2 linked regions of the Tribolium castaneum genome follow. The protein of the gene in region 1 interacts with the protein of each later gene in a pairwise test. Links are inferred from orthologs where the notes say so. Each region holds a gene or a part of one and is shown in the gene's direction. Other genes may lie near its edges. The genes, in order: Eip63E and CycY.

Region 1 (16,836 bases):
TTCACTAATTACTTGGAAAAAATACAGAAATGTTGTGCTTTGCATTCTTAATAGACTGAGAAAAAGTGACGACCAAAATTTTCACGAGAAATGTGGGAAAAAAGTTGTTTTAAATTTAAAATTTGCGCTTCGTCTCAGATTTTTCAAAACGCTGCGAATACGGTTTAACTGTCAACTGGTTTTGTTTTTCCGTAGTTAAGTCAAATTGTCAAATCGCTGTAGGTGTCTAGACCTGATAAATTCAACCCCCTCCAGGTATTCTCTAGGCGCGATGTATTCTTCCAGATACAGTGTAAGTATTTGGGTTGCGTCAGTATTTAACTTCTGAGTCAAATTTGACCTAGCAATACCAGTTACTTTGGCGTATTTTTTGATTTCGTTTTGTGAAAATGTCCCGCTTTTTAAGTTAGCTAAGTTGGCAGACGTTTTCAATTATTTATGTAATGATAGTGGTAATAAAACTGATCACTGATCAGTAAATAATGATGTTCAAGATAAGTGACAATGATCTGAGATCATTGAAGACAGACCGGCAAGAAATGATAAGTCTCCTCTAAACAGGAGACGATTCACAAACTACCCAGGCATGTTGTATAGAAAATGTTCTACATTTTGTACTAAATGTTGCAAAGCAATTTGTACAAGATGATCATCAAATCAGTTTGTGAAATAAATATACAAATTGTGTCTTTTTTAAGTTACGGAAAAAGCCACTAGTTTTTCTTTCAAAATTTTTACAACGTATTTTTTGGATAAATGTTTACATTACATCTTCTTTTAGTAGTTTGTAATGTTTAGTTTAACCTTGGAGTATTCGTTAATTTTTTTATGGCCAAAGAGTCAAATTTTGTTATTTCATTTGCTATTTGCTATATATTTGCTATTTTTTTGACCAAATATTTTTTATTTATGTCTATACAATGCATTCTTTATATCATTCAATTCAAAAAATAACTACCCTGTACATCTAAAATAGAGCTGGGTGTCAGTTATGTTTTTTACTTCCAAAATTCAGCTTTAAAGTATTGTGAAATATTTCATAATCATATTTTTAGTACATATTACTGACTTTAACAAACTTGGAAAATAAGATGTTTATTTACTTAAACTTAATACTTAGTAGTAAGGATCCTATTTTACAAAGTTCAAGATTTCGAAATAAAGCTTTATCCATCTGCTTGCGAGTAAATGGAATTTTTTAAAATTGTCTTTTTTATGCTTAAATAATCACCTATGATTAAATCAGCAAGTAGGTATACATTAATTTCACTGTGCTCACTGGAACAAAATTTGGCTGCTTTACTTTAAGATTTAACAAACCCTGATAACGGAAATATTCATTTAATTTCATTCTATTTACCTATTTATCAGATGCTTTTTGTAAATATCTATATAGTAACAAGTAAAGGAGTACTAGGAGTAGGTACTTCCTAAGAGGACAACTGAATGAGAATTAGGTTTTTCTTTCAACTTGAATATATATTTTGTAGGTAAAATTTAAAATGTCTTAACTATGTAGTTACAACAAAAGGAGTACTAGTAGTACTTGGTAAGAGACCAACTGAATGAGTACTAATTAGATTTCTCTTTCAATTTTAATGTATTTTTTATGTAAAATTTTAAGGGAACTTCATAAACAAAACAGAAAAAAAACTAAAGTTAAAGAATGATTCCAAATTTTACTATTAATAAAAAAGTAGTTACAGTTTTTTAATTTCTTTGGAAGTAGGTATAGTCAGGACAGCCTGGAACAAATGTGACGATTTCAATAATTATAAAAAAGATTACGGATACAGGTAAATTGAATTTTTTAAAATAGCACGAGTACGATTATAAAAAATTATAAGCATTTACCAATTTGCGTTCCCCGTTATATTATTGAGAAGGAAGGAGATGCGGTTGAAGATACACAAAGTAGTACGAAACAAAGTTATAGAGAATTAAATTTCCTACAAAAAAAGTTCGCGACACCATTTTTCTATCTCCAAGTTAAGTTTAAATTAATTTTTCCATTCTTCACCACCAGTAAAATGAAACGGATCCGTCGTTTGAACGGCTAGGGTGCCGTTTTTGTGGGAAATTTGTCCACAACTTTTTTGATATTTTTTTGCATCTGTTACCGCACAGTCTTCAGATTGGTAAAAGTTCGTAATTTTTTAAATACAGATGTTCCAAGTTTTATGGCCGAGGCAAAAATAAATATCTCTGGTCGAGTCAAAAAATAAATTGACAATCTAAACGATAGGAAATTAATTACGCTACCATTTGATACTTTGATATTCTTTAAAATTTTTAAGGTATTCCTGTGAGGCATTCAAACCAATTTTGGTAATTTTTGTTTTTAAGTTATTGGTGTATAACTCCTTTAATTTTTATAGCAATAATTGCTAGAATAGAATTATGCGAACTTTTGAGCAATTAATATTTTAATATTAAGGATCCAAACGCTCCAATAATTTACGACTTTGTGGTAATTGGTGGTCAAGGCATAATTTCTTTTTTATCTCTTACTACTGAGAATGTAATGCTCTATCAGTCTGTATTTTTTTTCTTTGCCTTGTGCTAACCGTTATTGAAATAGACATTTTTTAAAATTCGGTACTCCGGGGACGTTTTTTTTTGTACGTCGTTTCGTTTCTTGTAGTTAGAACAAACACGTTACGAAAAATTCCCACCCTTTTAGAAAACGCTTATGGCCTTTGCCACGTCTTGTCGAAGCCGTGCCCCAAGCCCCAGCCCACGATGTGGGACCTGGGGCCCACCTACCGCGACAAATGGGAAATCCCACGCGAGGAAATCCAACTCATCCAGCGCCTAGGCCGCGGCAACTTCGGCGAAGTGTGGTACGGCAAATGGAAAAACAACATCGAAGTCGCCGTTAAAATGCTCCGCGAGGGCACAATGTCCACACAAGCCTTTTTACAAGAAGCGGCCATCATGAAGAAGTTCCGCCACAAGCGCTTGGTCACCCTCTTCGGCGTGTGCAGCGAACACGAACCCATCTACATCGTCCAGGAGTACATGTCCAAGGGCAGCCTCCTCGACTTCCTGCGAAAGGACGAAGGCAAGGAGCTGGAGTTCGAGGACCTGGTGTACATAGCGTTCCAAGTGGCCAGCGGGATGGAGTATCTCGAGTCCAAACAATTGATCCATCGGGATTTAGCCGCGCGTAATGTTTTAATCGGCGAAAATAACATTGCGAAAATCTGCGATTTCGGGCTTGCGAGGGTGATTGAAGACAATGAGTATTGCCCCAAGCAGGGCTCGAGGTTCCCCGTCAAGTGGACGGCCCCCGAGGCCATCGTCTACGGGAAGTTCTCCATAAAGTCGGACGTCTGGTCTTACGGCATCTTCCTGATGGAGCTCTTCACCTACGGACAGGTCCCGTACCCGGGGATGCACGGGCGCGAGGTCATAGACATGGTCGAGAAGGGCTACAGGATGGGCAAACCCACCTCGCACGTGCTCCCCGACGAGATCTACTCGATAATGCTGCAGTGCTGGGACGCGAAGCCCGAAAACAGGCCCACCTTTGAGTTTCTGACCCACTACTTTGAAGGGTTCAACGTGACGTCAGAGGTGCCCTATCGGGAGGTGCCCGATTAGTGGGGTACCACCAATACGTATAAACACTAGATCTCAGTTGTGTTTGGTTTTCCACTCGCCCGTTTGCTTGCCGCACATTCTTCAAAATTTCTAAGACTGGTTTGAGTTAGTGTCCGAAGCCACGTACGATATCACGCAGTACAAAAAGGCAAAATTCAAGTGACCTATTCGAGAATTTAACTTTTATACGACTTTTTGTACGTCTTTTTACTCAAAATATTGGACGTGGACCAATACTTGCTTCCCTTCCTTCTTCAGTGTATTATTGTATGTGTGGTTGTCTTCAGTTCGAGTAATATCGCGTGTGGTGGACACGGAGCTCTCTATTTTTGACGGAGGCCACACGTGGTATTGGCTTTTTGATTTTTGGTTTTGTGCAATAAACAATGTACAAAATTCATTCTAAATTATTGAGAAACTTATTTTTAGAGTTATATAAGTGTTAATCACGTCTTAAATGTATTGCTTTTATTTTTGTTTTAAGTATATTTTTATTTTATGAGGAAACATAGTCATGATAGTGATCGTGAGTGTATTAGTATAATTATTTATGTTTGAGATGGTTATACAGTCAGATTTGATCCAGTCAAGTTTTTATCTGTTCTTAAGAAAAGCCATATGTTATTGATTTTTATATAGGAACAATCATATTAAATTTTGTACATATACAGTATGAATAAAACATTGTGCTACTCAGCGACAGAGAACGCGCAAAAAGATGCGCACCAACGCAGTAATGGAAAGTACAACAGTATATGAACCTTTGTGAATATTGCCGTGTCCTGTTAACAGAAGGAAATTCGGGAACTCAAATGTTTAAAAAGAAATTGTTCAAATGAAAAATTGAATTATTAAGGAAGATAATGAATTGATAAATTGATAACACAAAATGGTTTCTTTGGATGCTGCCTCAAGTTAAACTCGGGGGACTGATAACTCTGGAAAAGATGTGCAGATTTTTCTGATTTCATCAAAATTGTTTGTTGCCTTTCGGATTTATGGTGCTGTCCTGGAATTATTAAAATTCTTTCTGGAACCATTTGGAATGGAATTATCTGGATTAGTGTTTTTCTTTTTTTATAAACTGTATTTCACTATTTCTCAAAACGATTTCTTATTTCCGTGGTAGTTTTAAGAAATAGTGAAATACGATAATTGTCAAAAGGGAAAATCAGCATAATTTGGATTTACAGGAATTATTTTGAAATTAGAGAAGTTAATTTGGATTTTGGAATTACTGTTGAGTATTTTGGAGGATTTTTTTGTAACGGAACTTTCGGGATTTTTTTGTACCTAATTGGAATTATAGTTGTACACATTTTTTGAAAGCCCTTCAATTAAATCTCACAGGTCAGTAATTACCTCATTTTAAATAATTTTTGAAAGTAACGTGTTAAAAATTCAGTAGTTTTATTTTTTATAAAAAAGTTGACATTAAAATTACATGAAAAAAAATCGTAACATTCTAATGGCCTTATTAAAATATACAGACTGAATTAAAAGTGACGCACAAAGTTCATATCTTGTAATTACTCATTTTTCAAAAAAATCCTCCAACAGCTCGGTTTTATTTTTTTTAATGCTAGTGACGTGATGTCATTTGTTTTTGAGTTGTTGTGACGTCATTTTTACTTTTTTAAAACGCCAGCCGACATTTTTGTTTACTGTTTTATCAATAAATAAAACAAAGTTTAAAAACCCGACACACCAAACCTTTTGTCATTATAATAATATTAATAATAAATAAATAAATAAATAATTGAATTTATAATAACAGTATGAATTTAAAAAACAGTTGCGTTTAAAATAATTTATTGTGGATTTTTATTATTATTAGAAAACAGGACATAATTTTTTGGGTTTTTTTGGACATGGTACTAGATGGACCTATCTATGTTTATTGTATTTTTTTCATAAGATGTTTTTCTTAAAGGAAACTCAGTTACAAAAATATATTTAAACTTCCTGTTCAATTAATTGTTGGGCTCATTATTTATCTTAGAAATTCAATTTGTTTTTCTTTTTTTCATTTGAACAACTCGTTGGACAGGTCCCCATTTTTTTCTTATGCAGTGAATTCATTTCAATTGAATTAAAAAGTGAAAAATACGATCTTTTATTCTACAAACCTCAAAATTTGAACATATTTTGTGGAATAAAAAATCTGAAAAATCCACATATATTATGTTAATTTAAATAATTAAGTTTTGCGTTGGTGTTCGTCTTTGAGCGTTGTGTATTTTGATTTGAGCGCCATCTTCCGGGAGTGAAAAGGACGGGTCCGGTCTTAAAGCAATAAAAAATGAACACATCTATTACGATAAAACAAAATATAAAATATGGCAAAGTATTGCTTAAATCACTAAAATCAAACGTTCGCCATATAGTGGCGAGGACCTTGACGTTTGTTATAAAGTTTTAATTTGATTGTTCGAATGCACCTTTCTATAAACACCTCCAAGTCTTGCATCGACATTGGATGCCTTTTACTAAACAAATTTAAATAAATACCTAAAACTACCAATAAACCGGACCATAAATACCTAAAACATAAGAATTAATTGTAATTCGGAGAATTATTTTTACACTTACTGAAACGTAAAAGGTTTGCTGAAAAAAACAAATGATATGATAATAGTCACGGCTTTGCGGCACGTTGTCACAGTGACTGCCGCAAAAGCCCCACAAGTCCTGACTAGAGTGAGAACGATCTGAATCCCCAAATACCCAGTTAGTGAAAAAATTAAAGCGTAACCGTACAGTTTTTTTGGATTCTGAAAATATAATTGAAATCAAACTTTTGGGAAAAATGATCATTTAATAAACTACAGTAGAAAAAAATTGCAAGCCATCGGTGAAGTCGCCAGTGGCCACCATCACAATAAGGAGGTACACAAACCCAATTGAATACGAAAACAGGACGACTTCGGAATTCGGAGCCCCATAATTTTTCATTGACTTTTCCTGCACATTTCCTATAATTGCGTCGCACAGCAAGGCCATCGAGATCATGAAGATGCCTTTAGTGTTAAAATTTGGTTGTACATGTGAATCGGCTGAAATTAGTTCGAGTTTTTGAGTCACTTATTAGGGGGCACATGGCTTTGATTAGTGAACATACACACCCAGAGTGAATAATGTTAGTCCCACACACATCAAAACAGCTGCACTAAAGTCCAAAGGCCCGTACCGTTTGCCCTGAATTAGAATACTCCCGACAAGGACCGGAATTAACTTGCAACACTTGAAAATCACTTGAGTCGGATAATTCAAGTAACCGAGCGAGGCATTAGAGAAACCCATGGTGCCAAGGGTCAACAGTGCGAGTAAAAAGTACGTTTGGATCGGAATTCTGGAACAAATCGGTGTTCTGGGGCCTTAAAATCGAACCACTTACGATCGAGAGGTTATGTTCCTTATTCGTGTCTCAATCAGGCCAAAGACGCTGTAAAACCCGAACTGGACCAACGTGAGGTACCACCCGAAGGGCTGGAAGCCGTCGATGGTGAAGATCAGCTCTTGCATGTACCCGTAAAGGATGAAAAACACGAAAACAGCCCCACTGCAAATGAAAAATTGGACAGGTTGGGAAAAACGAGTGATATCGAGGAAAAGGATACTGATTTTGGGGCTGTCTGGCTCGGGGTTGAGCCCCCCACGCTGAGCGCTGCGTGACATTTTCAATTACGGGAAAAAATCATTACTTTTGCTTGATTTGAGACACGTTGACACATATTCAAATCATCTGACACTTGACGTCCCACCAGGCTCGCCAATCGTCCCCCCAATCATTTTGAAAATAAATTGACAAATTAAATTCCCGTGGTTTATCAGGAGGTGTCCGGTGGCCCAAAGTCAAAATCCCCAGTGTTGTGACAAGGGGGCGAAGCGCAATCGGCGCCAAATCGCCCGAAAATCGCCAAGGTCAGCGGCGCGGATGCCATCTGGAGGCGGCCGAGCAAGCGAAATCAGTAATGGCCGCTGGGTTTTGGCAGTGTTCTTCGTGTGTAAATAAGTTCGCGTAAAACTAATTAATAAACTTCTAATTATGATAATTTTAGTTCGGTGAGAGTGACTTATGTTGTAGTGTTAAAGTGTGTGATTATGTATTGTACGGTTGACAAAAGCCACAGTAGCGGAGCCTCAGCCACGCAGCCTAGGAGCATGAAAGATGGTAAAGCCCCCTTGATTTTCTACACGCCGGAAAAAACCGACACTCGGGCGAATTCCGGGCGCTTTGCTGCGTTTTTGCCGCGGTTTTGTGGACAAGCTCCAGTTTTTGCTACCTGGCCCGGTTTCTGCACCCCAACATGTGTTGGTGCGAGGGACAACGACCAGCGTTAATTGAAATTAACTCTCGTATAAATAGACAGTCTCGTCGGTAATTCATTGCTTGAAAAATGCAGCTAGGAGCAAAAACCTTGATAAATTGCTGATGTCCCGTTGTAAATAATCAACAATTCACAATTACACGTTGACGCAGCAGAACGACCCATCATGGGCATGGTGGGGCTGCTATTGTCCATGGAAGCAATCAATTTGCGTTTACAGCTTGTTTATTAAATTTGTCAGAGTTTCCGAAGCCCCAGCATCCAATTCAAACTTTGCGCTTTATAATTAATGTAAATGACATGAATTTGGTATTGTTTGAGGTAAATTAGTTTAGGTTTGTGCTTTTTGTACGCCAACTTCGAGCCAATACAACTTGGCAATTTATCGACGATGTCGTCCAGATTTTGGGTCGGGTCTCCGGAATTTATGGCAAATAAAAATTTAGAATGAACTTGACCAACGATATTGCGGAGGTGGAGAATTTTTCAGCAAACCCTCACTCGAAGTGAGGTCGTGTTTTTATTAGGGTGTTGAAACCGTTATTGCAAAACATGGAATAAGGTAAACAAAAAATGGAACGAATGAACAATAGGCTTGCATTAATTGATGCAAATCGTTTGAAATAAACCAAATTGCCTCAGAATGGAATATTTAATTGTTAAGACTATTATTTTTGTGAAGGGGTCAATAAATCGGTATAGCTTAATATGTGCACCTGCCGACTGCCAATTGTACATTTTTTGTGTATAATCGGCAATCGCTAAAAGGAAAAAAATCTGTTTGCAAATGAAAATCATTTAAGATGTATTAGTGGCAAGTACACTATTCAGAATTTGCTGCACTGTAGGAAAAATGTTGTATAAGTTCAATAATGAATAGCTAATTTGTATATCCTCGACCTTAATCTGCTTATTTGTTGCATAAATGAGAATCAATCCATCAATCACTTTCCCTTTCCAAATTAAGTATTGTATTATATTTTACATAGGAAATCATTTAAAACTTTTACACGATAAACACTATTCACAATATTATTTCAAACAGTATAATCTCTAAATAAAGCAAATAATTTTTGCAAAATACGTACCTACTTATTTTTATAGTACCTTTCAAGAATGCGAAATCCTACATACATTTGCATTCAAGTTCCAAACAATGTTTTTTCGAGAACTGCACTAGTATGAGAAGGTATGTTTAAAAAAAATTATTGACTTTTCTTTTAATAAAATACTTTGGCGTTCTAGAACATACAAGTTTTTTGGGTGTAAACGACATAAAAAAGTTAATTTGCGTAATGAGAATTTAACGAAAATGTCAACATTTGGTGACAGTCTTTGAAAAAAATTTTTTTTCTTTTTAGGTGAGTATAAAATTTTTCTAGGTGAAAAAAGCTTTCTAAAAGACGAAAATTATTAAACTTGGAGATTGCACATTTAGGAACTAGAGCACTTAACAAAAACCTAAAAAGTAAAAATACTTGATAATAACTCGTCAAAAAATTACTAAAAAATAAAACATTTTTGATTATATTTTAATAAAATACTTTGGCGACCTAGAACATAAAAGTTTTTTGCGGGTAAGCGACATAAAAGAGTCACTTTGCGTAATGAGATTTTAATGAAAATGTCAACATTTGATGAGTCTTCGAAGAAAAATTTTTTTTTTGGTTGGTATAAAATTTTTCTAGGTGAAAAAAGCTTTCTAAAAGACGATAGGTTCGATAGGTCTCGGTTTGTTAAAAGTTATTAAACTTGGATATTGCACACTTAGGAACTAGAGCCCTTGAATAAAACCTAAAAAATAAAAATATTTGAAAACAACTCCCCAAAAAATTACTAAAAAATAAAACATTTTTGATTATAGCTTAAGATTTCTACTCGTAAAATCTTAAGCTCTAAGTTTAAGCTCTCTTCTGATTGAGAAAAAAATAGTACTTTTCATAGATTTTAAAATAATAGTACAGTATTTTAACACTTTTTTGCTAAAGTTTAGAGAATATTGGGAAAAGATGCATTGCTTATACAGGTGTTCGAGAAGTTAAGGCGTTCCATTCAACAGATGATAACATCCATTGTTCTTAAGAGTTTTAATCTAAAACATCTTAGTAAAATGTTGATGATAACGAAGGTACAATTACTTCATTTTTTGAAATCTTTGAAGGCGGCTCTGTTTAAATTTGAGAATTGCCAAAAAATTAAAGGGCCATTGGCAGTAGTAAAAAAATTGTCATTGTCACAGTTGTGGTTACAGTAGTTACGAGCTTACAGATTTGTTGATATTCTAAGGGCAGTGCTATCAAAAATATTTAAAAAAATTAAAAGTAACATTATTGCAAATCTGGTATCCATAGAAATGAGGTAGATTATTTTGAAATGCTTATCTCTAACTGGAAAGTAATCAGGACTGGACTCAAAATTTTAGAAAACTATAAAAAATTTCTCTGTTAATAAAAACGTTTTACTAAGACGATTAAGTTAAAACTTTTAAGAATAATGCATTGAACGCCGCAACTTTGCGGCGTGCAACTTTGTATTGTGCGTGCAAGTTTTTATAGTTTTTTATCTCTTCTAGTTTCACAATTGTTCTCGAAAAAAAATAGCGTTATCGAATCTTTCTGTTTTTATGTTTTGATCTGAAATTACGAGTAATCTACGTTTTTCTGCTGAGATATTTTCAAAATGTTTAAATCAGAAGCGGAATTGTCAACCTTTTTACGAAATTTACCACGCGTGAATTTAATTGTTAAACAAATTTTGTGTTACATATTTTTTGTTCTTTTGAGAGCAGGGAGCTTCTTGATGTCACTTTTGCCTTTTCCAAGTCGTCACGTTTCACTTAAAGTAATAATTTTCATACATTTCAGAATTTTTATGAAATGTCGTTGAAACGTTACGACCTAAAATTCCAAGATATTACATAAAAATCTTCACGTAAAAAGCGTCGATATTAACTTTTTTCCCTGTCTTGCCTATACGCAACGCTTAAAAAATCATAAAGTAAAATGTGTTTCACATCAATTCAAGGATTTTAAATAATAAATATTGATTTAAAATAAATTCACTTTGAAGTAAACTGAAGAGAGAAAAGTGTCTTCATATTTTACCACACACTAAACAAGTCTATCGATTTACGATACTTTGCACAATAAATTCCATTGAAGGTTTGTTTATTTGAGTAAATTGATTTCACCCGAATAGTGGAGCACTGGAATTTCACGTTACTTTATCTCGATACATATTTTTTGTTTACATGAAATAAAAGTCGTCGTATTGATTAATAATTTGCGATTAGGATCTCCAAGTAGACCATTAAAATATAATGGAACATGGTCATGGACATAAACGATAAACGTGGCGTGGAGGTTTTTGCTCCGAATAGAAATGGCCGCATTAATATTTTTCTGTTAAGGTTGAAGAATAGCAAAAATGTTTAAAATGTGAGAAACATAATAAATGTAGTGGCACATTGTATTGCATTCTCTTTTTGGTACAATGCTTTCTTACATTTTGAGCACTTTATTTAGTTCGAAAGTCTCTATTACCGAAAGCGCCGCAAAAATGTGTCTAGTAAACTAGAAAATATCTGCCTGGATGCAATTTTCTAACACGTTAAACCGCTCGTCACAACGGTAAACCCAACATAATTGTCCCATTTCAGTGTGAATTACAATGCAAGCAACTTCTCTCTATAATCTGTGGACATTATTCCCTCCAACTGCAGATAACATTAAGTAGATGGCGATGTTGCGGATAAGTTTATAGTTTTCAAACTCGAAGGAATAAACAACGAATTTCCTCCCAGTTCTCGTTGCGAGAAAAAGGAGAATTTGGGCCGTTATCTCATCCATCTGTTTTTATAGTTTGTTTGTTATTACTCCAATCATTCGCCACGACCTTGTCCCTGATAAAAATCAATCTTTTTGCATCGTCCTTGAGTAAACCGCGTTCATCTATTTTCCTCTTCTCCCCAACCAAATATTTATCGCCGAAACGAAATGATATTAGATCGTGTAGTGTAGTTTTAAAGTCGGTCCCTCGGGGATCCCTCACCGGAGAATCAATAATGTATCTCCTTGAAATAGCAACGACGACAATTCCTCGGTATTTTCATTACATTACGCAATTGTGGAGGCGTTTTGGCGCCGCTCCCGCTTTGACTTAGGTCAAAAGCGATTCTTTCGTTGCAATTGCGGTTTTCTGAAAGCTGAAACGACGGTCAACAACCCGTTCTCTTCGTACTGCTGCTGCTGCTGTTTATGGTCAGTGGGCGAAGCTGCGGCCTTCGAGCGGCCCTCGCCATCGCCACCGTACCCACACTCTTCCTGCGTGTTCTGCATTCTCTCAAATAACATAATAACCGACCAATCGGCCCAACGTGGAAAATACCCATCAGGAGGAAGCAATACACAATAATCATTAATTAAAAATACAAATTATTTGGTAATTGCTGGATAAATCATTGTTTTTCAACGGCTGTTTCCTCTACTGAATTTTAATTTTTTTCTAATATTATACGTAATATGTAATAGTAAATACTTTACTTACTTACAATCAAATTTACATTATTCACTACAAATGCAAGTTAAATCGACTAAAGACAAGGAATTATGGAACAAAAATTTAAAGATTCAAAGTTAATATCATATATTTTTTTTTATTTCTGTACTTTAATTGGTTCGTTAAATGTTCGTTTGTGATCTGTTTTTTAAATGACATTCGTGAAGATACAAGCTTATGACCAATCAAAATGGGTTATGGTAACCATGGGACAATTTGTGACCAATGGGAATGTAAGAGGATAGCAATTATTGGATTGCTTTGACTGGTCGGATCATAGAAAAAATAGTGTATGCAACTCGCATTTAATGGACTTAAGACGAGTTTGCAAAGATTGGAGATTTTTGCAAAAATTGCATTTGATCAAAGCATCTAATTGGATATCAATTAGAAACGTTTGGAATTTCAGGACTTTTCAGTGTACATTTTCAGATTGATTCTTCAAGTGGACATGATAGAGTGGATGCTAAAGCGAAAAATAAGGTTTACAATAGTTTAGTATTGAAGATGACTTTCAAATATTCTGTATTTGAAGTATGAGGATGCTAGCAATTAAATGTCATAAGCAGATTCAATGGATTCTTGATTTTTGGTGGAAGACATTACACAACATTGTAGACGAGATGAAGTGAAGTTGGTTTTCATTACAACATTTCTAAGTCGACTTAAGATCATCAAGAGAGGTTTAGAGTTTGTAGACAAAGTATTGTACATATTATTAATGAAAAGCAAGAATAGTAATGGTCCAAGAGTGGAACCTTGCGGTACACACGACGTTGTAATATAACTATCCAAAATGTAATTCTGACATTGAATTTTTGGCTTTCTATTCCCAAGATATGATTTTATTAAGAATTGCAAGACACTGAAAAAAACTGAAGAAAAGGATCAAGTTTCGACAACAATAGACAATTATTATCAGTTTGGTCAAATCCTTTATTAAAGTCAATAAAGACATCAACTTGAAGAAAACTTGTTCAGGGAGAGACCCAGTTCTTAGATTTATGGAAAAAATTTCCCGTAGGAAAATGGAACGCTTTTTGCTGTGAAAACATAGTTGCTATTCTCAATAATTCTTATAGGAATATGTTTGTGGGAAATTTTTACAACTTACTCCCAGTTTCAAAGCAGTTTTTCTTCCTAAGTTTTTAGAATCTGTGAATTAGGTATTGTTTCTTTTTTGCAATTTTATTTTATGGTTTGTTTTTTTTTACGTTGTTTTAATAGTCTACATTGAATGTGATTGTTTATTTTGTTCACCGACTGTTGTAGCGAATTTTGATTACGTTTGAAACTTAGTGGCACTAATTGCTCTTGATGAAGCCGAAATTGCAGCAGTGCGTTCTAGAATTTATTTTTAAAGAGAAATGCCATTTCCAGATTTAGTCGTAAACTATAGATTGTGTATTAGATTTTTGTCACATAACGAGTGTTCGTGAATTTTACAAAATGTAACAGAAAGAACAGAATATTTGACTCTTCCTGAAAGAATTAATGGTCTTAAAATTTAACAAAAAGTGCTAGTTGTCCTCAAATTTTATGCATTAGTGGTTACCACACTGATAAATGTTTTTGTTGGCATTTCCTAGTGTTTGGCATGTCGCACAATAAATGAATTTAGTGATGCTTTGATTGGTTCTAAATTTTCCACATCCGCTACAAGAATTTGAAGCGATACCTCAGCAATTTTGTTTCTTATGGTATATCTGGGGCCCATTGCCTGGACTCTCATAGAAATTTTTTACATTTTTATTGGCTAGTGGCTAGTGCTGCCGTAGGAAGTATTTTCCAATGGGTTTTGAGAATAGCAGATTCTGATTTTATAGGAGTTTGTATGGGAATTTTGGCATAGTTAAAGAATCTGGTCACAGAAAGTCGTATATAAATTAAGTAAAATAGATCGTATTTGTGTCATTCGATCTTTTTTCAACACATTATAAGTCGTAAAATAGTGATTCCAAAACAATCGAGAAATCGCATAAGATTTAGATTGGCCTGTCGTTTTCAATTTTTGTTGGAATCTTTAGAAGCTTCAAAATCTGCAGGATTTCATCCTCACTTATCTCAACTTATGCAAAACCGGCATCAAACCAGACAAATCATTAATGTCTTTGGAATTTGATATGCGACAAAAGACCAAAATTTTTTTTTGATTATTGGAAATTGTGTTTTTCGTATGAGCAGTGATTGTTAGAGTTTAGCTTGAGACAGAAGTTTTTTTTAATTTCTTTAACATGTTTGACGTATGACCAAGACAGCTTGTAATGGTATTGTAGGAAATGTGCGATTATTTTTACGACAGTATAGTTCTGAAACAGTTGACTTAAAAGAGTTAAAGAGACTATAAAAAACTCGACGTGCCTCACACACATCGCATAATTCTTCCATTTCGGACCATTATACTAATAATTGTAAAATTGCATAGAGGCGAGCGAAATTTGCTTTTTTAATGTTAAATGCGACGTTATTCCTATTCATCTGGAACATGTCAGGTCTTTTTGCTAGAATCTCTAACGTAAATTTTAAACTTGGTTGAAAAGAGTCCTCCGAAACAAAAGAGGAAGGGGAATTACCAATGACACAGACCATGTTATAGAAAAGACAAGTCCCTAGATGTTATTTCGCCGATTACATATGCTGTTAAACTGATTAAAATTACAAAAAAAAGGAGCAGCGATTTACGGAAATTCTAAAATTGTTATTTGAATGTCCCTTGAATTAAGGGCTGTTAAAGTTTTGTTATTATGCCGTTCGTCAATACTACTAACTATATGAAAGAATGGGTCCAAGCCCAAATCAGTGAGAGAAGAGGCAAGTTCTTTCTATTTGGTTTATTTAATATAGATTTTAATTCTGAAATGACATTTTGTGCTCTTGAAAAAAATTTGTCGTAAGAAATTGCTTTTGGTTGTTTTGAGTGTTTGTGCCATGTTACCTTCATAGAGCTTTTTACAAGCGATGATAATTTAATTAAAATCGAAACGTCGCTAAAAATATAAAGTTTAATTACTCCTTGCCTTAAACAACCAAAAACAATTTCTTCCGTCATATATTTTGATGATAATAATTGGCTAAGGTTTCGATTTATTGAGATTCCGTAAAAATAATAACATTTTCTGTCTGTCTGAGGAGTTCAAAGACGAGAGAAAAAGTGCACATAGTCTAAAAGCAAGCGGTCGCGCTGCCGTAATGAGGAAATTGAATTTCTTTCCGTTTTCTGCAAGAATCGCCAGAAATAATGGCCACTCAAAGTCCAGGAGCCGTTGTCTGTGTAGTGTGCGATCTTTTCGCGCCCTCCTCCCTGTCGGAATGAATTTCTCTTTTTCCTCAATGACGGCAATATTCGAAAGGAACGAGCGTCGTCTTGTTTGTAAACTTTCCCGCATATTGTGCTCCGGTATTATTATGAGGTGGCCCGGCATTGTGCCGTGGCCGCGCTAAAGCACTCCATCGCCTCCGGGACCTTTTATTAGTTTTCCCGTTTCGTAATTTCGATTCGTCCTTTCGATTGAAAAATACCCCGCAGATACGACTGCAAATGGTAGCCGGAACGCTCCGGGGAACGCAGACGGTCCCTTGTTAACTATTTCCCTCCCGGTTTTTGCCCCCGTGTCGCTTTTGCCGGGGGAGATTACGATACTAAATGGATTTGTATCGTCCGAGCCGGAGGGCGGCCCCAAATTTTTCACAGTGGAATCTAATTAAACACTCGAGTCGATGATTTAGGTGCATTGCGGACCAGCACGCCAAAAATATTTTTCAAAGGTGTCTTACTTCATCTCCAGAGTGTTGTTACGTTTAACGAGAGGCGCCACGCGATGTAAAAATTTTAAAGGAGTTTTGCGCACGCAACTTTAAACAATCAAATGAGAAGTTGTCGGTAACTGAAATGAGAATTGTACTCGGCTTGAGTGGATTTCAGCGTTTCCACGAGGACAAATCTTTTGAGGGGCTTTCCACTCTCATACGTGTTTCAGACAGGAGAACAAATGAGCAACTCCTGCAATTTCTGCGAGAGACTAATTGCAAGTGCGAGACTTGGGTTCTCGCGTGATTCGATCCCTTCACCTCCACGAGGTATTACGATCGGAAAATTAACCGGCGATGCTTTAATCAATCTAGTTTAGGACATAATAGGGAGATTTTTCCCCCGTCCTGAGTAATTATACCATTAGCAAGTGTTTGGTTGCTAAACCTGAGAGGCTCAAATTAATTTATGCGACAGGAGCGATCCTGGGTGTGGAACACCATCATTTCGCAAAAGAACGGGCATTCATCATGGACAGAAGCGGGAAAACGCTAATGTAAACATTTACAATGGTAGAATTAATTCTCTTATCTT
Region 2 (16,554 bases), on another chromosome or scaffold:
TTTGTTTTGGTACAGAAGTGGTAGAGAGGCAAAAGTCGCTTTGTTGAGTAGTAATCGCAGGTTTGTGTTGACAAGGATCGAGTCAGGAGTCTCCAAATCGATGCAGCCCTCTTTGGTTTGTTCCAATTGCGCTGCAGTTGAAAGTTTCTTGTTAGTGCGTCGTCTGGGTTTCATAGTGAAGCCGGGAATCGACGCTAGGACTTCCCGCATCGTAGGGGCTTTGGCTGGGGGCGTCTCCTCGGGGGGCTGCGGAGGCAACGGTTTGACTATTATACGAGGAACCGTCGAACTGTTTCCCGATGCAATCGTCGTGTTCTTTTTCCTGCGTTTGGCCTGCTGTCGCAGCGCGAGCTTGATGGCCTTCTTCGTGGGCTCGGGGGCCGCTTTTTCTGACACCACTTTTTCGGCATTTTCTTCCTCGCCTTGACTCGAAGCACCGTCACTCGCCTCGGGTGTAACGTCTATTTCCATCACGTAACCGAACAGTTGAGGACATTAAAGTTTACTTGAGTCGATTTTTTCGACTTGTGTGTGAAATACGACCGAATTTTCAGGCGAGCATTCACCCCATATTTTGGTGCGCGTTCGGGTCACAACAGGACTCGTTGCCATTCATTTACAAAATGCTAGGAGGCGACAACAGTCTTAGTCTTTTTGTTTAAAAGCACTCGGTCTTTGACAATAAAACACCATCCGCCATTTCATAACCGGGCCTAATATAAACAGGATTTTTGGACTGCTAGGTTGGCCACACTGGTTGCAACTTGCAACCGTACGACTGGTGCCAACATTTAAATTCTCGATAATATCAATAAAAAGACAACGAACAAATTAACATTGAATTTAACTTGCTTGCTTCTGTTTGGTATTTAATTATTAATTAATGGTGAAGCAGCAAAAATTACAACAAGCTAGACACGAATGCACTCCTATAATAGGTACACATTTTCTTTTTTTTGTAAATAATATAAACGACTCCTACCGATAGACGTTATCAGTGGCGTAGTGAAGGTGGTTCCGCGGGTTCCGAGGAACCAGGCCCGGGACTGTGAAAGGCCCGGTCAAATTTCTTACTTATTAACTTTATTGTAAAAATAAAATAAAAAAGTTTTATTGTTAAAAACAAAATTGGCCTACTATGTATTTAAAATTCATGGAAAACACTGAAGCGATCTACGATGTTTATTTTAAATACAAAACAAAACTGCTACTCACAATAACTACAAGTTGGTTACAAGAAATGGCTGGCTCTTGTTTTCTAAACACTAGCTCGTTTGGGTTTAGAATTATTTTTCTCCTTGGGACACTTTTAAGAAAAGTATAAAAAATAAAAATAAATGTGAAACACGACTTTATTACTTCTTTTACGTATTTTCAACCTTCATTTCTTCAGTCGTTATGCAGAGCTCAGATTAAAATCAGCTTGACACCGAACAGTGTTCAATTTTTGTGTATTTAATCCATTAATCAGTTATTGAATATGACCTCCGTAATTTATTTTCCGATTTATTTATTAAAACTGAGGCTAATAATTTTTAATTTAAAAATAGCTTTAATAGTCGCTGACTTGGACACTGAATCAAGCACGAATTCTTCAAATTTGGATCTTTGTAAGTTATCTTTAAATTTGGTATTTAAATTTTGATTCGAATTTTACTAGGTCCTGAAAAAGATGACATTACTATTGTCAATGTTACCGATAGGGGTCATTTTCAGGCAGTGTTGACTAATTCTGAAAAACGTTTTATGTTTATCTAATTTATATTTTATATTATATTTATATTTATATTATATTTTAATATTTTATCTAATGGCGACCTTGCAGACCCCCTGGTCTATTCCCAAAAAATTGTATTATTACACAAAAACTTCAGCAATGGGATTTAAAAGTACTCGAACCTGGTTATGTTACTCTAAAATCCTTAACAAATGTTATTGTCAACCATGTTGGCTATTTTCTAAACAACAAATTAAACTCAGTTTAGGGTTTGATGACTGGATACATTTAAATCGAACAATTAAAAAACATGAAGAAAAGTTAGAGCATAGTCAATGTTGTGCAATATACAAGGAGCTCAAAAACTGGCGTACCAACTACGCTGTTGGTACGCTGTTGAGAAGCATGTGTAGATCACGGAAAAAATCGTGAAAAAATTCCTAATGTCATATTTTAAAAAATATGGAGCTACAAACTTATTTTGTAAACTTCTTCAGTTTTCATTCTTTTTTTATGTTTTTATGTTTCACACTAAGTAATCGTTCCCTAACACAACAATGAATAATTATTTTTAAATTTCCTATCAGACTTTAGCAGATTTTTTAATTAAAAAAAATAAAATTCGTTAAAAAAATCACAATTTGTAGATGTGTCAACAATGGGAATTATTACCTAGGAAACCGTTTCAAAAATAATTTATTTTTATTGTTGATCAAGTTTTATGGCGATCATGACTGTTAGACAACGTTGCCACATATCATTTCATTAAAATTCGTTATTTATGAATAATTTTAATACAAAGAATTTTTTTACTATTTTTACCTTTATATGTAAGCAATTCTCTACCACACTCCAATGAGTTGGTGCGCCGGTTTTTGAGCACTCGGTATGACAAATGGCGTTTAAATAAAACTATCGATTATACAGGGTGTATCAGAAATACGTGTCTTAATTTTAACAGGTAGCAGAACTCAACAAATAAAGCATCTTTTCTATTTTTCAATAAAAAATTCGCAAATTTACTTAAAATTTGAAAAAAGATAACATACTGAAACGTGTACTCGCCTATGGGTAGGTACAAAAATAAGAGAGCCGAACTATTTTCGTTGTGACAGAAACAGACAATTTAAACAATTTAGAATAACAATGAAAATTGTTGCTATGAATACAAACTATTAAACACTGACCCGCTCGTTTGCATAAAAGAAAGAAGGAAAACAGTGAAAATTATAAATAAAAATTTTGCAAAATGTTATATAGAAAAGTTGTGGTATTTGATGAGTTTTATTACGTGTTAAAATTAACACACGTATTTCTGATACACCCTGTATTAATGAAGAAGTAATTTGCCAAGAGATCTCATCTTGGAGGAAGGTTTTAAAGCGTGTTATTAGCGTTGCTCTTTTATTGGCTTCATGTAATATGCCGATTCGAGGACATGAAAAAATTGAGTCTACAAATCCAGGGATGTTTTTGGCGACTATAAAATTATTATCTAAATATGATCCTGTGTTAAAACATCTTCTAGAAACTAAAACGAAAAAATCAGTTACATACTTTAGTCGCCAAATTCAGAACGAAGTAATACAATTATTATCAAATGCAGTTAAAGAAAACATACTTGAAAGAATTAATGCAAGTCCATTTTATTCAATTATAATTAACATCACCCAGGATATTTCAAAAGTAGATCAAATGAGTTTAATTATTTGTTACGTAGAACTCGTTTATTCTCATAATATTTTGAAAGGTATAAAAGTGAATCAATCCTTTTTAGGATTTGTACCAGTAGAAAATCAAAGTGCTGCTACATTAAGTGATAAAATAATTTCTACCATTAATAATTTAAATCTTCCGTTAAATAAATTGCGAACCCAAACATATGGCGGAGCCGTCAATATTAGCGGTGTATACAATGGGGTTCAAACAAACATTTCGGAAAAAATTGGTTATACGCCATACATTCACTGCGATGCACATAATTTAAACTTAATTTTAAACGATTCGGTAAAAGAAGTAGAACAAATTCGATTTTTTTTTGACTTTGTTGAAAAAGTATACGTTTTTTTGGTCATAGCATCATACGCTGGCATTATTTATATCCAGAGAAAAATACAAAAGATTTTAAATTGAAAAAATTGGTACCTACAAGGTGGTCTTCTAGTCATGACGCACTGAGTGCTTTACGGTATAAATGTGTAGATACAGGGCGATTCAGATAAAATAAGGAGCCTGACAATCTGGCGATGCAACCCAAAAAACACATTTCATTTACGCCTTTCACCCAATTTAAATTAGGATTTGCAAGTTGAATCAAAGTTATCAACTTATGTCACTCTGACGTTAACGCAGAGAACGATCGTTATTGCGATGATATGTCTAACACCACCGTTATTGCCATTCAGTTTTCGTGGAATGATAGAGAAAGTAGAGAACTCTTTTCAGTGTATAAACTACAATACAAAATATATGAAAGAATGAAGCATTAAAGGTAGGTATTCAGTTTTTCCAAAATCATAAATTGCAACAGTAAACAGGGAAACAAAAAATTAACTTTTAGCGAAAAATGTGTTCAAAATGCTGGCCTTCTGCTAGTTTTTCTTGGCCCGATTATACGATTCACAAAGATGCGAGATACCACACTAAACGTTCACCAAAACAATTAATTGGAAATGTGTTTCACTTATCCCCAGTGTATCTTTTTGAGCATAGTAATGACTGTTGTGCAATATCATTAATGTTAGAAAATCGGGCTTCCTCACAATAACATTTTCTGAAGTAAGTTGTTGCCAACTTGTATTTATGTTCTGATAAAGAGACAAAACTCTAATCTGCGTTCAAATTCAGTTTTCCCAAGTTCTCGCACTAGCTGAACATGATAGGTAAGAAATTTATTTTTTCTCAGCGGGTGTATCAGAAATACGTGTGTTAATTTTAACAGGTAACAGAGCTTAACAAATAAAACATTTTTTCTATTTGTAATTTTTCAATAAAAGTTTCGCAAATTTACTTAAAAATTGGAACAAATAACATACAGAAATGTGTGCCCGCCAATGGGTACAAAAATAGTAGTAGGTATCGAACTGTTTTTGTTGTGATAGAAACGTATAATTTGAACAATTTAAAACAACAATAAAAATTGTTGTTATGAATACAACACTGACCGGCTGGTTTGCATAAAAGAGAGGAGGAAAATATATTATATTAAATAAGAATAAGAATTAAACATATTAAATAAGAATTTGGAAAATATTATATAGAAAAGTTGTTGTACTTGATAAGTTTTTTTACGTAGTAAATTAACACACGTATTTCTGATACATCCTGTATACCTTCAAAACCTAAATGAAGGAAGTGTCCCTTAATTTTCTGATTATGGTTAAGGAAAAACTAAATAGTTTTATATGTGCAAAAATCAAGTCTAATAAATATTTACCCTTGATGTAATATACGGACTGTTTATAAAAGAGTGTAGAATTTTAGGTGGTTCTGGAATTTAAATTTACCGCAATTAATTATTGAATTTTTAAGAAATTTCTGAAAAGTACCAATTTTTATTTACTCAGTAATCAGTAAAACCAAATTTTTCATATACTAACATTGTTTGTTTTTTCTTTAAAGAAGCGGCAACCTTTTAATACCTACTACGATCCTACATTCATTTTTAGACAGATTGTAAAAATTTGCTAAGAAATGTTTTGATTTTCCACATAGTAAAACAACTTTATGTTGCATAATGAAATCTATTAGCTATAGGTATAAAAAAGTTGACTCCAAAGATTATCATAAAACTATGAATGGTGCGTTTTTCAAAAAATAGGTGAGCGCACTCAGCTGCTCCTTCATTTGCACTCATTAAATGTTAAGGGTCGGTTTACAGAAAGCGAAATTAAGACTTAATTCAAAATTAAACTAATTTGTGAAACGTAAAGGTCGTTTTACACAATCATGTCATCTTTTATTTTGAAAACGAGATACGTTGATACGTTCTTTTATTTACATCAATTTTTTTTGTCCTCAATATTGCAGTGGCCGACACGGAATTTTGGACACCTATGACATTTCGTTGACATAAACGTCATACTTTTTGACAACGAAGTGACTGGAGTGTCCAAAATTCCGCGTCCGCCACTGTACTAGTTTTCTTATAGTTCATTTTTTATATAATCAACTGTCAATGTTAAAATTTTGATAAAGACCAAGTTCATGACCAACCACTTTTGAAACTACCTTCTGTTCATTTTCATAAAAACCATTGTGGTGGAACTGACTAAGCTGTTACCATGACAATTTATATAAAAGTTAGTGCCAAGAATGTAGCTGTATTCTGTATTTGACATTTTGAACACCAGATTTGACATTTTTCAAAATTTGACGTTAGTGTTAATCGATAATTCGTTAGTTTAAAGATGGTCTAAAATAACTAAATGTGTTGTTGAATGTGTTTTAAATTGGAGACACTTGAAAAATTTGGAAATTGAATTTGCCAGATAAAAAATTACACTAACCTTGATTCAAAAAAATTACTATTTATGGTAATGCCAACCTGGGGGCTCTTTAACAGTAGATTATAAAAAAAAGACTATATGTCCGCTTTTAGAGACCTTTACCACAGTCTACTGAACTAAGGATTGCGAGCATTTTAGTTGCCTACCCTACAGTTCTTTACTAGTAAAAGAAAGTGTTGAGTGAAATATCTCATTAATGCAAGATTTCTTTATTCACAAATAAACGGAAAACAAATTACTAGCGGCTAGCCCTTGCCGGTCTACAAATGTTCGCTCAGTCGAAATGTTGCGAGCGAGGTCGGAACAGTACGAACGGAGACCATAACGGACTTCTCATTTCAGCTGGGCTGGTTAAGTCTAAAGAGTTTTCTGAGTATTTTAAAAATAATTACATTAACAATCGGCATTGATGGGCATATTGGAATAGTGGTTTTTATGGAAATATGTTGCGCGTTTAGTTAACTAAAAGGAAACAAACCCCACGACCAATTAAACTCGAAAACGTGGAACTCGAAACGTGGAATAGTGTTTATGTTTATGAACTGTACGCCACCCTAGCTCCATAAAAAAACACTATTCCACGTTTCGAGTTCCACGTTTTCGAGTTTAATTGGTCGTGGGGTTTGTTTCCTTTTAGTTAACTGGGGCGAAGCCCCAGCCACGCGCAACATATTTCCATAAAAACCACTATTCCAATATGCCCAGCTGAAATGAGAAGTCCGTTATGGTCTCCGTTCGTACTGTTCCGACCTCGCTCGCAAAATTTCGACTGAGCGAACATTTGTAGACCGGCAAGGGCTAGCCGCTAGTAAACAAATTCACTTATTTTGTTAAAATTAATAGTGAGCTGGTGAGGCATCGGGACATACATGGTTGCAAGGTTGGTAGCGCAACCACTCGTCTAATTTTTTATTCCAGTAAAATAATTTTTTGTTAAAATTATAAGTGGATACTACTGAAGGTGGTAATAAACAAATCGTTTATAATTTATAATATCCTACGGACTGTTCTGTTTATAATATTGATAACAATTTGCACGTTGCATGTTGCAAGTTGCAACCGTCCAAAGCATCCTTCAAAGTTTGACAGTTCGGTTCCTTGTCCGAAAAATGTGTTTAATTCGCCGTTTGAAACAACAATCCACATAAAACCATGTAATAGTAAACAAGTTGTGCGCACCGTCGAAATCCACAAACTCCTCACCGGCTGCATTCGCAATTGCCGGCTGAAACAAGGCGTTCACTCGTGGGTGTTGATCTAAAATCGGCTTATCTGCGTGGACACAATCGGTGATAAGATGAGCTGCCGCAGATAGCGATGGCACGCTAAGGGGGCCACCATGGGCAACAAGAACAGCTGCTGCTCGTACTCCAGCCCGCAGACCAGCCACCGCGTCATCATCCCCATTGAAGATACGCTAAATGAGGGCGAGGTCAGTGTCAGTAACCTGCAGCATATCAGCGAGCGGGAGGCAGACGACGGCGACGCCGACCCCTCGCAAGACCCTACGGCGAAAACCATCTTCATTGAACGCTCCAAGACGGCCATCGAGAATGGCATGATCCGCAGGAAGAGCCAGCACCAGATCGCCGATTTGCGCCCCCTGAAGAAGAGCAGCTCGTGTTCGACGATTTATTTGGACGACAGCACAGTGTCGCAGCCCAATTTGAAGAACACGGTCAAGTGTGTGGCATTGGCGATTTACTACCACATCAAAAACAGGGATTCGCAAAGAGAGATTGATATCTTTGATGAGAAGCTGCATCCACTGACCAGGGATGGGGTTAGTGACGATTACGACAAGCATAATCCCGAACACCGACAAATTTACAAGTTTGTGAGGACTTTGTTCAATGCTGCTCAACTGACTGCTGAGTGTGCCATTATTACTCTAGTGTATTTAGAACGGCTGTTGACATATGCAGAGTTGGATATACAACCTTCCAATTGGAAAAGAATAGTCTTAGGTACGTATAAACTACGAAAATAATTAATATTTTGATTAATAGTTAATGTACAAGGTGAGTTTGCTAAAAGTATACCGGATATTTTGGTTTGGTTTTTCCATACTTTTTTGTACTGGGTGACTTTTAAAGATTGAGGCTAAAAAATCTATTGGCAACATTGAGTTATTGGCCTCCCTGCTAGCTTGTTGTATGGAGTTGTTTTATCTGACGGCCATGTCAGCGATCGTAGGTCGAAAATGAATGACAATTGAATATAAAATTTTGAGAAATAAATTTAATAGTCAAGGTTGCGAAATTTAGTTTTCAAATTTGTTACCAACTTGGCCACAAATATCACAATCATTAATAGTCACCCGGTCTAGTAAAAATGTATTATTACAAACCAAAACCGAAATATATTCTTGATTGAAATGACAAAATCTTTTCAATTAAATCACGAGTTTACCTTATGATCATATTTGTCTATATCTGTCGAGTTTTTTTCAAATGGTACCCTGTATAATTTTTTGCTCTCTTTGATAGATAATTTACTTGTAATTTTAGAAATGTGTCACAATATGACAAAATAATAGTAAGCAAACAAATAAAATTAAAAAGTATACAGGTGTCCCAAAATTGGCGAATTCCGACTACAGAGCATTGTAGAGAATCACTTCAGTAGTCCAGATATAGAAAAAAATAAGACTGGGGGCTTTTCCACAAAGATACACTGGTTTGAAGATTACTCTTTGAATTTCGTTTTTTTTTTCAAATGCAAGCTATAAGTTTTGTGATTTATGGTGTAGATGATTGTGGAGAATAATAATGAAAACCATTTTTTTAATTAGCCTTATTTTGGAGTAAAAAAATTTAAATTTTGGTGATTTTCGTCTGATTTTTAAGAAAGATTACGAAAATTTAAGATTGTTTTACTCCAAAATAAAGCAAATTTTTTGAGAAATTGTTTTACATTATTATTTTTTACAATCACCTACACTATAAATAACAATAAACAATGAAATTTTTTGCTTGCATTTGAAAAAAAAACGCAATTCAAAATGCACCGAAGTACACATTCAAACCAATGTATCTTTGTGGGGAAGCACCGAATCTTTATTTTGTTTCTACCTACATTTGGACTAGTAAAGTGATTCTTTACAACATTCTGAACTCGGAATTTGCCAATTTTGAGACACGCTGTATATTATTTCAGATAAAAAAGCTAGATGACAACGAAAACAATTAACACTCTTGTCAACTTTTTTCATTCAAATAATCTAGCCATTTTTTATAATCACAGATTTAAACTGATTGACAAGGCATGATATTTTTTGATACTTTAAAATGAAGTGAAATTGTTTTTATAGGTAACTAAGTTTTTTTTTTAACTAACTATATTAACTGTTTCAAAACTACACACATCTGAAAAGTTTAGGGATATTAGCAATTTTTCTAAATAATAATGTAATGAATTTAATTTTTGTAATTTTTTTGAAATGAATTGTTATTTCTTTCAAATATTCCATGAAAATGACTTTGTCATTCTTACAATTAAAGAAAAACAAAAATAAAAAAATAATTTAAATTAAATTAATTAATTAAATTTTTAAATTTTTGAACTTGGTTTAATTAATACGAAATCGGTTCTTCGTCCGGTTTGAGTTCTACCCTACGACATGATTGTTTCACTTAAGTAAGGATACATTCCTGGACCTGTTGGAAAAGATTTTCTCTGCCAGATTCTCTTCAAATACGCATTCTTGTTGAACCCGGGTAGATTCCAAATAGTTATTAATCAGGAAACAAAACATTAGCTCACTGTTGCAAATTTCAAGGAACAATTTGCTGAGCCAGTGAAAGTCTGGCTATGCGTTTTGACTAAACCATTTTTAACCGCAAGAATCTTAACCTCTTGTCTTGCATTATACCAAAAATTATGATAATAGTTTGATTTTTATGCAAGATATTGCTAACTGCACACTTCAAGTGGTTAAGGAATATTTACAAAGGTATCGAAATTTCTGTTTTGCTGTGGCCAAAACAATCTTCTGACTCTTTGAAGTCGTCTAGCATACACTCCAAATTCTATGGATAATTGTTCCGCAGAAAAATCATCAGGATTTATTCGCTGCCTTAAGGGCAGTGTAGAAAGAAATCTTTTAAGAAAAGATAAACAACTATGCCACGGCGATGTCGAGCTGTAATAACCAATAGGAGTTGCATTAGTTATTAAAAATATTATCTTATTTTTATTTTTTGTAATTGTAAAATCGTCGCACAGGATCAGGTTACAAACATCAGTCTTTGTTTTTGATTTTCATGGAATCTTTGAAGTTTACTCTGATAAATAACAATTTGTTTAAAAAAAAGCCAAATATTTCATTTATTATTATTCAGAAAAATCATTAATTTTCTGATGTGTATGTAAATGCCATCCCATAGAAAACTCGCCTATGGCTCGTTATCTAACTTGGGATTCGTACGCCAAATCAAACCCTTATAAAACTTGTTTTTTAATATACTATTATACGTTTAGAAAAATATTAACTACAAGTAGTACTTAATACAATGGTAATATTACATGTTGTTATTACTGTTTGTTATTTTTTTTTTTATAAAAAAGTTACAAGGATGTGAATACCAAACTGACACATCAGGTTTTTTTACTGAATCTCAAAAACTAATCACATTCGAATTCAACGTTTGCTATTAAACAAATAGTTTTTTTCTCTGCATGGAAATGATTCTTGCACCAAAAACTTATTTGAAGAGTACATGGGAAAAACAAAGTAATTTTTCAAAAAAAATTGGAAATTTGAACTAAAGCGCCATCTAGTAGGAAAAATTGAGAACTATGGATTGCTGTGTCAATTCACGTAAAAAAATATTTTTAAAGGTATTAATAATGTTGCTTATTCCATAAATACGAATACAGGTAGTACATTTTTATTCTACAAGTGGTTACTGTGTTAATTTAGCTATGGTTTGTTTCTTCATTTTACTCTGGCGTACTATTTTTTTTTTTTGGGTTCAGAATTTTCCAAAGTCCTAGCAGTGAGTTTTCTTCTTTTGCAAAGAGGCCAATTTCTTCTAAGTTCCCTCTCAGGACTTTTAAAATTCATGCCACTAGAATTTTGTTTATTTGGGAAACGTTGAGCAAACAAATTCATTGCAGCAACAGCAATGCAGGGTACAATGTGACAATAATGACTAGCACCGATGTCAAAGCTTATCAAGGACTGTCAGTAACATAAGATTACTTGGATTGCAAATGCAAATCGTAATTAAAATTAGATCAAGACGTAAATGAAATTGTTTTTTGGGTTGCATCGCCAAATCGTCAGGCTCTTAATCTTATCTGAATCACCCTGGATAAGAGAAAACGTTGTTTATACACGTAAAAAAAAGTTGGCATAATCTGCTCTTGATTGTTTCAGAAACCCCTCACTCTCAGATAATGAACAACTTTTTTTTACTTGTATAATAAACTACTAGTTTTTGATTTTTTCCTTTTTCTTTAAATGATAGAGGTATCAAAAATTTGGTTTAAGTTAAAACCTTAAGTCAAAAGGTCATTGTATGACACTAAAAAACTTACAAAAGCAATAATATTCCCTAAAAACTAAAATTAAAGTTCTAAACACAATATGAAAATTGAACCAAAAAACCTGTTTTTTTTTCAGAACGTGTAAAATTTGTCATTCCTTGTTTTTCTTTTGTACAATGGTGGACAAATTAATCGCGTATACTACGAAAAATCAAGCAACACATTTTTTCTAACTTAATGTGTAATTATGTCTTTTTTGAAGTTTGAAGGTATTTTTAGAATAGAGGTTATCGGTTGCAATTAGAAATTGTCACTCTAATTTAACAGTAAGGTAAGAATGACACTTTATTTACAAAAATTAGTACAGCATCGATTGCAAAATTAAAATTTTTTTATGGCTCCATTTACAACTGATACTTAGTGTGATCTGTTAGAAATGGATGCATTAAGGTCTATAATTTTTGTTAATTTCCTTCAACCGTTTTGAATAACATCCCAAAGTTCGTTTTTGTTCTCAGATCTAAAATTCCTTAATTATTATTTAACAAATGTTTCACCTTATCCAGGATTTGACAGTCATGGTCGTTCCGAACCAACTTTTTTTGTTCCCATCACTTCTTTACTCTTATGATGTGACTCTCCTCCAGTTTCGACAATGTAAGAACTTTGTCGTGTTCAGTAAGTATTGTCAATTTTAGTATTTGACACTGATGAAAATGTCATGCTAATACCTACTAGATCCAGCAAAAATACGGTGTACGCGACTATATTGTCCACCATTGTATATCTCATTTCATTTCATAGTAGAATTTTGCTACATTTTGACAACATTTGCGCGTAGACAGTGAAATGAAATTAATAATTTGGACCGTCATTAGTTTATTCGTACAAATGTATTCTGAAAATGTCTAAGACGTCTAAGGCAATCCCTTAACAAATACGGGCTTTTGTGTCAAATACGTGGAATTTGAAAATTGGCCGAAGGATAATGAGATTTCAATTTACTTACTTGCACTGGCTTTTGAAGTTATGTATGTACATTACTCGAAAGGGCCACATATCATGACTGGTACAAAAGCCTCTAAAGACAAAGCTGTTTCTAAAGTAACCATTTTAGGGAGCGTGTACCAAAAAAAAATCTTTAACGTTTTTAAATATAATTTAGACCTCGGGAACTGTGGTAAAACGGTGCTTTAGTTTTTTACTTTTATTATTTATTATTTACTGTATTCGGGCTTATCGAAGTTTTCGACCAGCTGTCCCTTATTAATAACCGAGCTTTTATAAATTTTAAAATCCTAATTTGTAAGCAAAACTATTCTCATCTGATAGAAAAACATACTTTTGATTCACTTTCATAAAAATCATTGTGGTGGAATTAACTAACCTGTTACCATGATAACTCATATAAAAGTTAATGCTAAGATTACCCAATTTCCACCACAATGGTTTTTATGAAGGTGAACCGAATGTAATTTTTTACTTTTTAGTGCATCTTTTAAATATAAGCTTTTTTCTAAAAAAACATTTTTTTTATTTTAATTTACTAAAATTTTTGTTAGCAACTTCATGTCGAAATAATTTCAAGGTTATAATTTTTGTCAAATAAATAAAATGACATAAGTTTACGTCAAATTTAACCAAGGACGTAGAAAACGTAGGAATTTTGGAATAACTATTTAGAAAAAGAAAAGAATTGAATAGCTACAAATTTAATATTAATGTTCACATTTCTGAAATTTGTCGATCTTTATTTTAATATTAAATACATAACTTAAAAACATACTTCAATGCTAAAAATGCCTTTCTTCCGGTTACAATTTTTAGTTAAACGTCTCGTCCTAAAATTGGTCATTAAAAACTCATCATATTTCTCGTCGTCTTTTTAAATTTCCCAAAAAAAAAAGATATTAAAGGTCTTCTTGAGTGAAAAGCGTAACAAAATCGTGAATTCAAGTATCTACGTATTTTGTAAATGCATAGATTTTGTACATAACATTATTTAGACAATCCGCTTTTCCAAATACTTGCTAATAATAAACGTAAAACTTGGCAGGAAAGGTTCAATTTCTTTCTCTTTCATCGATGATTACCATTTCTTAAAGTTAAGTTTATGATGAAGAGTTTAGACTAAAATTCTTGTACTTACAAATTAAAAATGAACGACGACTGCCAGTCTAAACCATTTCTAAACATTTTTGGACAAATTTATTTGACTTTTCGCTAAATTTAAAGTGTAACATCACTGAATTCTATCCCAATTTGTTTTTATTCATATTCCAGCGGACGTATATGAAACATAATTTTGAAAATTTACATTCAGTCTCCCACCTCTCCCTATTTAGGAACTTTAGTTTGCATATAAGAAAGAAGGAAAACAGTGTGCTTTGTAAATAAGAATTTTGCAAAACATTATATAGAAAAGTTATTGTATTTGATGCATTTTATTACGTGGTAAAATTAACACACGTATTTCTGATACACCCTGCATGGTACATTGTATTGTATCCACAGTAACCTAACCCAAAAATTTTTGCTGTGAATGTACTGCCCTAGCCAATCAAGACTCATTTAAGGCGTTCCCCGAGAACTGTCAAAATGATGTGCTCATACTTTTATACATATCTCAAAAAATAGACCACGGAGCAGTACCAAACAAAATTAATAAATAATTATTCATCGTTTTGTTAGTGAACGATCATTTAGTGTGAAATATAAAAACATTAAAAAAATAGTGAAAACTGAAAAAGTTAACAAAATAAGTTTGTAACTCCAGAATTTTAAAATACGACTTTTTTTCAGTTTTTTCAAGATTTTTACCGTAATGTACACATACTTCTCAACAACGTACCACTAAGCTGGTGCGCCAGTTTTGAAGCACCCTGTATAATTGTGAATTTGAAAATTCTACAGTCAAAAGAAATTAGGGTATATTAATATTTATATTGAATTTATTTTGTAAAATGTACTTAGCAGGATGAGCATAATATATTTGTTTGTTTGGATTGGGGCCATTTAGGTCATTACAACTCAAACTCTCCAATGTCATGGCCTAGTTAATTATTTACAAAATTTATTGCATTCAATAAAATGTAATCAGAATTTTTTCCAAACTGCATTTAATTTAAACGCATGGTAGTTTTTATTAATTATTATACGCACGACGAAACCACGTAGTTTTTTTATGAGAAGACATATAAGGTTTCAAGAAAAAAAAATATTTCTGGTCGATTGCGTTACTTATTTATTTAACAATACATACACGTGCAAATTAAGTAACCGCATTCAAGTCCCCTACACTTGAGTTGAATTAAGTAATAGTATTCGCTTTGATAACAAATATTGTTGTTTTAATCTGGAGGACTATTTTCGTTTAAATTGTCTGTACAAGTAATTGAAAAACCTACCTATAGGTATTTTGCAATAATTGTCGTTCTCTTATATAATTTCTAACAGGTTTTTTGGTGGAAATTACCACTCACTCACAAGTATTAAAAAGTCGTGTATCTACTTTCTTTCAGTGTTACTAACTCCAAATAATTAATAAGTGTTAGAAACGTTTTTCAGATTATTGAAATAAAAAATCAAGACGCTCAGACCAAAGTTTATTTAATTTAGTATTAGACACATGTGTACTGTTCCACGGCCTAATTCACTATATCTCCCGGCTGATTTTTCTCTAAGTAAATAACGACAAAAATAAAAAAACACCCAAAATCGTTAAAAATAAAGCTTATTCTTTATTATATGTCATTCCAGCACTGCACTCGAGTGGAAGTTTGACACCAGAGCCGAAGACAAGAGTAGCGGTCGAAGAATGCATTACATTTTTTGTTTATTTGATGAGATAAAAAAATAGAAAATAATTTAAGCCTTCGAAAGCGATATTTTTTTAATTTTGTAGAACGCGAGGTGTTGTAAAAGAAATGGATAATACTTTTTTTGGCAAAACGTTCAAATAGATTTTAAAATTTTGAAGTCGTGTGGTGTGGTACAGTTGATAAAGTTTCTAAATATTGTTATTATGTGACAAGTTGCATAAGTTAATATCATTAAATCGCTGTATTTTTTTGCAGGTGCAATCCTCTTAGCTTCCAAAGTGTGGGATGACCAAGCTGTGTGGAACGTAGATTACTGCCAAATCCTCAAAGACATAACCGTGGAGGACATGAATGAATTAGAACGTCAGTTTCTCGAGTTGCTCCAATTTAACATAAATGTCCCTTCAAGCGTATACGCAAAATATTACTTCGATCTACGTACCTTAGCAGAAGCAAACGATTTGACGTTTCCTAGTGAACCCTTAAGCAAAGATAGAGCGCAGAAATTAGAAGCCATGTCCAGAGTAATGGAAGATAAATACACAACGGAAGCGATCAAAAACGGACTAAAAAAATGGTCCAGTTTAGATAATATTACGAACGGTGGGACTGCGGCGAGAAGAAGCGTCGCCATTTTGTCGTGATCAAAAGGATTTTTTTATTTTTTAAGAGATCTACCAAAGTATTTCTAGTGGAAGTTTTTATTTTTATTTTTTCTTAGATCTTTTTATTTCCGATTCATATTTATTATATTGATGCTTTTGTGTTTGACTTATTTATTACTGGCGACTCACTCAATTATGTTACGTAATTTAATGGAAAAAGCCTAATTGACTGTATTTACTTATTATACTTATGTTAAATGTTATTCTTTTGTTTCTGTTGCAGTGTGTCACATGACAGATGGCGATTTGATAGTGATGCACTGCCAAATCAAATGCCAACATGTATATAAAAATTAGTGATTAAAACTTTCCATTCCAGAATAAAAGTATGTCAGGGAGAGTGTTTATCC

What was found.
Region 2: the proteins of Eip63E (region 1) and CycY interact in a two-hybrid assay, tested with the Drosophila melanogaster proteins (2 studies listed by BioGRID). The link is inferred for Tribolium castaneum from reciprocal best matches to the Drosophila melanogaster genes Eip63E and CycY.

What each region holds. Positions count from the first base shown.
Region 1 is NC_087394.1:24,268,585-24,285,420, reverse strand, and holds the start of Eip63E (cyclin-dependent kinase 14), read left to right. Parts: upstream 1-7,459; 5' UTR 7,460-7,613; exon of another isoform or gene 7,614-7,667; 5' UTR 7,668-7,710; coding exon 7,711-7,780; intron 7,781-16,836. Other genes in the region: tyrosine-protein kinase Src64B, read left to right, coding at 2,684-3,606; Papst2 (adenosine 3'-phospho 5'-phosphosulfate transporter 2), read right to left, coding at 5,975-6,149, 6,199-6,380, 6,436-6,662, 6,732-6,958, 7,004-7,284.
Region 2 is NC_087398.1:15,840,051-15,856,604, reverse strand, and holds the start of CycY (cyclin-Y-like protein 1), read left to right. Parts: upstream 1-7,079; 5' UTR 7,080-7,564; coding exon 7,565-8,192; intron 8,193-15,794; coding exon 15,795-16,183; 3' UTR 16,184-16,554. Other genes in the region: polycomb protein Asx, read right to left, coding at 1-471.